2 linked regions of the Saccharomyces cerevisiae S288C genome follow. The protein of the gene in region 1 purifies or fractionates together with the protein of each later gene. This does not show direct contact. Each region holds a gene or a part of one and is shown in the gene's direction. Other genes may lie near its edges.

Region 1 (3,996 bases):
GAAGTTGGCCAGTTCTTAGAAAACTTTTTAGAATTGAACCTGAACGAAGTCACTGATTTGATTAGGGACACCAAACACACATCAGATTTTGATGCTACAGAAATAGCTAGTGAAGTACAACATTATGACGAATACTACCATGAGTTGACCAACTGATCCTATCTAACTCTCCCTCTTTTTTCACATATTATTTAATACGTTATAATTTATTTGAATATATATATATATATATATATGTATATATACTAACCGCATGACACGTACTGTATCGCATTTCGTTTCGGAGTGCAGGCGAGTTTTAGGTGCATTCTATAGCGTGAAGAAGTGAAATCTCGTCATTTCTTCAAGTTATGCCATTCAGTCCAGATTGTTTCACATGCTTTCATATAGTCATTTTTGTCGTCGCGAACTTCAAATTTGAAAACATCATCATACAGAGAGATTTCTCCAATAATGATCCTTTCTTTGTCGTTGTCATCATCGGCATCGTCGTTAAGTGAAGCGCCCTCACTTAATGAATTTTTCGTGACAGAGCATTCAATGTCTTCATCAGTCTTACTTATGATTGGGTCTCCGTTGTGGTGTTTGGAGACAAAGGTTCTTTTTCTCGATGTCAAATCTTCCAAGTGTGGTGATCTACCAGCCAACTTCTTCCTCTTTGCATGGTAGTCGGCTGGTATTATACCATTATTATACAAGGGGCCGGGATACATCGGGGAATAATAGCCTTCGTATGCGTGCGTTTGTGTTGGAGTTGAAGAATATGGGTAGCATGGTACTGGTGGCAGTCCAGTATATGGATAAGGGTAGGTTGCTGTCATATATGAATTGGCCACTGAAGGATGATAATCTTGATTCGTAGGAGCCATCCTACCCATATATCTGACCCTAAGGCTATTTTTGTGCTGCGGAAATCTTGTTATGTTTGGTGGAGCACTTTTAGATCCATGCAAATGAGAAGATGCTTGTATATCGGAAAAATTTAGCGCTGGAGGTACCCTTTTCCTCTTTAAAGAATGATTCAGCGACTTAAAGGGTACGGTTTTCTCTGCTGGAGAAGTCGTAATGGTAGGAGGCTTACCACTATGATCTTCCTCTTTTTGCGACAGCCTAGATATGAGCAATTTTTGATTTTTTTCGATATCCCTGGATTTTTTGATCTTCGAAATCATTTTCTCACTCAATCTGTCTTCATCAAGCCCTGGAGATACTAACAGCATTCCCAGTTGCTGCAAATTCCTGGGATCATTTTCCTGAACAGTTGATATTTGCTCTTGCTGTGGGTCTTCTTGCTCTTCTTTATTCATAATTTTCCCTCTTTGCTTAAATATTCCTGCAGGCTTAACTATACCACATAAATACCACTGCAAGCAATAGAAATGAAAAATAACATTAATAACCAAAATTTAAATGGCTGTATGTTTATTGTTTATTTGATCTGCACATTATGTAATTATTGATAATTTAATAGACGTGTCCGCCGGGTGATGAAGCTGTGACATATCACAATTTTATGTGTACCTGTTGTATGTATACGCTCTAATGTCCGATATCATCATACGTGCATCACTTTGTAGCCTTCTAGGATGGCGTCTAGGTGAATACCGCCGTAGTGTTTAGGAAACTAATGTTATGGGTGGTTGTTGTTTCACTATCCAGTAATACTTTTGTGGTGAACTTAAGAAGCTTAGGGGTTACCCCTTCTTCTTGAACTAATTTTAAGAAATAACAACGAGGAATAGTGTGTATTTTTAATTACTGATCAGGCCGCATGAATATACTCACCTGTATACGTAGCAAAATTTCAGTCTCCTACTGTATATACGTCTAGATGGACTCGGTGACAAATTTTTTCTGGAATGACACCTATAATGCTGGTACTCCAACTAGATCAACTCTCAAGGGGAAGAAAGTGCAAAATGGCATAGATGGAAAAAGTCAGGCAAAGAAAGAGAGCATATCTAGTGGTTCTAGAACTAGTGATCCTACACGTGGTAGTCTGCCATCTTCCAGTGGACAGCCAACTAGTGGTGGCGGTTTTCCCTCGACATCAAACATCCAAAAGATGATGGCAGATACCCTGGTAGAGAAGATAATCAAAATGGCATTACCACCATCTTCCAAAACGGCTGTTGATACAATTCACCATCGTATGGTTGCTGGTAAAGAAAGGCCTAAGCTGTCTGTGCAGATCACGAGTAGGAATTTTATACAGATGAACTCGAGACTAGGGGTACCATTCATGATTATGGATGAATTAATAAAGATATTAAACTGGACTAACCCAGCGTATACAGTATCTATCATGTTCTTATACACGCTCATTATATTGAAACCTTTTCAAATGCTTTCTTCGCTCCCTATATTCTATTTGTTATTCTGCGTAATGGTCCCGCAATACCTTTACATTCATAAGCCAAACCCTACAAGCTATCTAGATAATAATCAAACACCAGCACAAGGCCCACCTTTGCGAAGACCTGAGGTTCCTAAACCAGTCCCTGAACTGAGCCAAGAATTTGTCTTAAACCTCACGGATTTACAAAACCATATGCTGCTATATGTTAAATTCTACGATTTTACTTTACTCATATTACAAAAGTTTGCATTCTTCACCAACGAGGCTATTTCGTCGTTTTATTTTATTGTATTGTTAATAATAGCAACATTAAATTTTCTGTACATGGATAAATTTATCAAGCTCATTCCAATGAGACCCGTACTGATACTGCTAGGTTGGGGTTTTTTTATTGCCTCGCATCCGTCCAATCGTGAATATTTGTTGACTAAATTGAATTCGGAGGAGACAAGATTAAAAACTTTGACTATAAGTACTAATCTGGAATCTAAGATTTTGCAGCATTTGAAACTCATTGAGGCTAGGGAGCACCGACTTGTTATGATCTTTGAGATCCAAAAGTATCTTCCTGAATACAAAGAATGGCGCCCAGTTGGATTCTCTGATGACGATTATTCTCTTTTCTCTAGTTTGAGAATATACCAGAGGCGTATTGAGGAAAATTCAGTGAAGTCATTAGAAGAAATTGAGCCACCTAAGGATTGGGAATGGGAAGCCAATTCTCATTGGGTGCTTGATTTGGATCCAAAAGAATGGGTAGAGGACGAATTTATTCAGTATGTCGAGATAGATTCAGAAACAAAATGGGTCTATGACCTCAATCTTGATGGACAAAGGGGCTCATATAGAAGGCGAATGTGGACCAACAGTTGCGTGCGGAAAAAACTGGATTCTGGTATTTCTTCAAACCTTGGTGAGGAGGAAGTAGTTAATCCATTGAGGGAAGAAACATATAGGCAAGGCGTACATGGCGTGACGAAGGGTTCAATGAGTGGCGGTCTAACTCACAGTAGTGATGATGACCGCGCTGATGAGGAAAGTATAAACGGTACTATTCCTAATCTCAACAATATCGACGCGGATGCATCTTATCCGTCAATCGAAGAGCTAACAGACACTCTCAATTCAACTATATAAACTTGATTTGTTATACTATATGTTCACTGATGATACAGTCAACTTTTCATAAAACTTTCTAATGACAGTGACGAACTTTTCTTCTTTTCCATTTTTTTCTCTTGATTTCTTTTCGATAAAAGGTTTGTAAGTGAGTTCAACTTTCTCTTCTTGGATCTCTCCTTACCAGTACTAGTTTTACTCTTTTGGGGCTTCTTTACCGCGTACGAAACCTTCCCGCTGCTGGTACTATTGATCATCGGACTAACATCTTGTCCAAATGTTGGAACAACGAACTCAGATTTCCACTCAAACAATTTAGACTTTTCACAATTCAAGCAATTAACCTGGATACATTTTTTTGGTCCTTCCATACTCTCGCCGCCAAGTTCGTCGGAGTCACCTTGCTCGGTATTAGTCGTTAACTGAAGACTTGCGTTAAAATTAGGAACGTAAACACACCCGCAATGGGAGCAAAATTTCCCACTTTTCAGTTGTTCTGGCAGCATGATTTGATATCG
Region 2 (3,838 bases), on another chromosome or scaffold:
AAAGGCTCCGATAGCCGAAAAGTGAGAAGAAAAAAAAAGGAAAAAAAGGAATTGTCCTAATGAGCGGTGTGGCCGACTTGCCATAATATCAGTTAGGGCTACTATCAATGTTTTATCTACGTTGGAGTAAGATCGTTTATCACTTCCATATTTGGACCAAATGAAAAGTTCAATCGGCCAAGTATTTCATGGATGGAATGACGTTTGGTAAGGAAGTGCTTTTTCTTTTTCCACATATTTTCCCTTTCTCTCGGGGAAATTTTGTTTCTAAACATAAAAAATAAAGCAACAGCAAAAAAGAGGGTCTGTCCAGCGAATAAGAAGAAAACCTCCTTTTCGGCTTTTGAAGATAGGTTGCAGTTGTCTGCGGGCACAAAATGGGCAATTTTTTTAATACTTTTTACGTATGAGACAAGATTTTTTTCGCCAATTATATCGCATGAAGAATAACCAGAGTTTTTCTCCGAACGTTAAGGGAGTTGAAGTAAAAATAAAGAAAGGACCAAATGAGAATGGGTATGCTTGGTCTTAGTCTTCGAATCAAATTCTGCTTCCCTGTTCATGGCAACGTCACCTCAATTATTTGGAAAGGGGGGGTTTTCCGACTTTATTTGAGATGACTTGAGATGTGTGTCAATGCTAGTATTTTGGAGATTAATCTCAGTACAAAACAATATTAAAAAGAGGTGAATTATTTTTCCCCCCTTATTTTTTTTTTGTTAGAATTGATCCAAATGTAAATAAACAATCACAAGGAAAAAAAAAAAAAAAAAAAAAATAGCCGCCATGACCCCGGATCGTCGGTTGTGATACGGTCAGGGTAGCGCCCTGGTCAAACTTCAGAACTAAAAAAATAATAAGGAAGAAAAAAATAGCTAATTTTTCCGGCAGAAAGATTTTCGCTACCCGAAAGTTTTTCCGGCAAGCTAAATGGAAAAAGGAAAGATTATTGAAAGAGAAAGAAAGAAAAAAAAAAAATGTACACCCAGACATCGGGCTTCCACAATTTCGGCTCTATTGTTTTCCATCTCTCGCAACGGCGGGATTCCTCTATGGCGTGTGATGTCTGTATCTGTTACTTAATCCAGAAACTGGCACTTGACCCAACTCTGCCACGTGGGTCGTTTTGCCATCGACAGATTGGGAGATTTTCATAGTAGAATTCAGCATGATAGCTACGTAAATGTGTTCCGCACCGTCACAAAGTGTTTTCTACTGTTCTTTCTTCTTTCGTTCATTCAGTTGAGTTGAGTGAGTGCTTTGTTCAATGGATCTTAGCTAAAATGCATATTTTTTCTCTTGGTAAATGAATGCTTGTGATGTCTTCCAAGTGATTTCCTTTCCTTCCCATATGATGCTAGGTACCTTTAGTGTCTTCCTAAAAAAAAAAAAAGGCTCGCCATCAAAACGATATTCGTTGGCTTTTTTTTCTGAATTATAAATACTCTTTGGTAACTTTTCATTTCCAAGAACCTCTTTTTTCCAGTTATATCATGGTCCCCTTTCAAAGTTATTCTCTACTCTTTTTCATATTCATTCTTTTTCATCCTTTGGTTTTTTATTCTTAACTTGTTTATTATTCTCTCTTGTTTCTATTTACAAGACACCAATCAAAACAAATAAAACATCATCACAATGTCTAGATTAGAAAGATTGACCTCATTAAACGTTGTTGCTGGTTCTGACTTGAGAAGAACCTCCATCATTGGTACCATCGGTCCAAAGACCAACAACCCAGAAACCTTGGTTGCTTTGAGAAAGGCTGGTTTGAACATTGTCCGTATGAACTTCTCTCACGGTTCTTACGAATACCACAAGTCTGTCATTGACAACGCCAGAAAGTCCGAAGAATTGTACCCAGGTAGACCATTGGCCATTGCTTTGGACACCAAGGGTCCAGAAATCAGAACTGGTACCACCACCAACGATGTTGACTACCCAATCCCACCAAACCACGAAATGATCTTCACCACCGATGACAAGTACGCTAAGGCTTGTGACGACAAGATCATGTACGTTGACTACAAGAACATCACCAAGGTCATCTCCGCTGGTAGAATCATCTACGTTGATGATGGTGTTTTGTCTTTCCAAGTTTTGGAAGTCGTTGACGACAAGACTTTGAAGGTCAAGGCTTTGAACGCCGGTAAGATCTGTTCCCACAAGGGTGTCAACTTACCAGGTACCGATGTCGATTTGCCAGCTTTGTCTGAAAAGGACAAGGAAGATTTGAGATTCGGTGTCAAGAACGGTGTCCACATGGTCTTCGCTTCTTTCATCAGAACCGCCAACGATGTTTTGACCATCAGAGAAGTCTTGGGTGAACAAGGTAAGGACGTCAAGATCATTGTCAAGATTGAAAACCAACAAGGTGTTAACAACTTCGACGAAATCTTGAAGGTCACTGACGGTGTTATGGTTGCCAGAGGTGACTTGGGTATTGAAATCCCAGCCCCAGAAGTCTTGGCTGTCCAAAAGAAATTGATTGCTAAGTCTAACTTGGCTGGTAAGCCAGTTATCTGTGCTACCCAAATGTTGGAATCCATGACTTACAACCCAAGACCAACCAGAGCTGAAGTTTCCGATGTCGGTAACGCTATCTTGGATGGTGCTGACTGTGTTATGTTGTCTGGTGAAACCGCCAAGGGTAACTACCCAATCAACGCCGTTACCACTATGGCTGAAACCGCTGTCATTGCTGAACAAGCTATCGCTTACTTGCCAAACTACGATGACATGAGAAACTGTACTCCAAAGCCAACCTCCACCACCGAAACCGTCGCTGCCTCCGCTGTCGCTGCTGTTTTCGAACAAAAGGCCAAGGCTATCATTGTCTTGTCCACTTCCGGTACCACCCCAAGATTGGTTTCCAAGTACAGACCAAACTGTCCAATCATCTTGGTTACCAGATGCCCAAGAGCTGCTAGATTCTCTCACTTGTACAGAGGTGTCTTCCCATTCGTTTTCGAAAAGGAACCTGTCTCTGACTGGACTGATGATGTTGAAGCCCGTATCAACTTCGGTATTGAAAAGGCTAAGGAATTCGGTATCTTGAAGAAGGGTGACACTTACGTTTCCATCCAAGGTTTCAAGGCCGGTGCTGGTCACTCCAACACTTTGCAAGTCTCTACCGTTTAAAAAAAGAATCATGATTGAATGAAGATATTATTTTTTTGAATTATATTTTTTAAATTTTATATAAAGACATGGTTTTTCTTTTCAACTCAAATAAAGATTTATAAGTTACTTAAATAACATACATTTTATAAGGTATTCTATAAAAAGAGTATTATGTTATTGTTAACCTTTTTGTCTCCAATTGTCGTCATAACGATGAGGTGTTGCATTTTTGGAAACGAGATTGACATAGAGTCAAAATTTGCTAAATTTGATCCCTCCCATCGCAAGATAATCTTCCCTCAAGGTTATCATGATTATCAGGATGGCGAAAGGATACGCTAAAAATTCAATAAAAAATTCAATATAATTTTCGTTTCCCAAGAACTAACTTGGAAGGTTATACATGGGTACATAAATGCAGATGCCAGTGAACTATGTTCAGCTTCTGGCCTTCGTTTGGTGGTTTAATCTATTTTTTATAAAAAATGACGCGGGCAGATTCAATTAGTGTCCTAAATTTATTCGCGTTTCAAGATTTCAAAGGATTGATCCTCTTATCAGAAACGATAAGTGCTACTCCGTCCTATTCTTCTAGCCATCTAGTACGTATTCTTTTCATAACATAATCCCTTATTTACAGAATGTGTTTCGAAGAAAAATTAATTAGATGGGAAGAAAACTGAAGTGGCTTATATAATCAGTGACATAGTGCCAATAA

Evidence for each region.
Region 2: the proteins of PEX29 (region 1) and CDC19 purify together in Saccharomyces cerevisiae (affinity purification with mass spectrometry, with the first as the bait; 2 studies listed by BioGRID). This does not show direct contact.

The regions. Positions count from the first base shown.
Region 1 is NC_001136.10:1,414,710-1,418,705, reverse strand, and holds PEX29 (Pex29p), read left to right. Parts: upstream 1-1,831; coding exon 1,832-3,496; downstream 3,497-3,996. Other genes in the region: alkaline phosphatase PHO8, read left to right, coding at 1-156; DIG2 (Dig2p), read right to left, coding at 336-1,307; SNM1 (Snm1p), read right to left, coding at 3,535-3,996. UniProt on the Saccharomyces cerevisiae protein: Involved in the regulation of peroxisome number, size and distribution.
Region 2 is NC_001133.9:70,151-73,988, forward strand, and holds CDC19 (pyruvate kinase CDC19), read left to right. Parts: upstream 1-1,635; coding exon 1,636-3,138; downstream 3,139-3,838. Other genes in the region: YAL037C-A (uncharacterized protein), read right to left, coding at 3,276-3,368.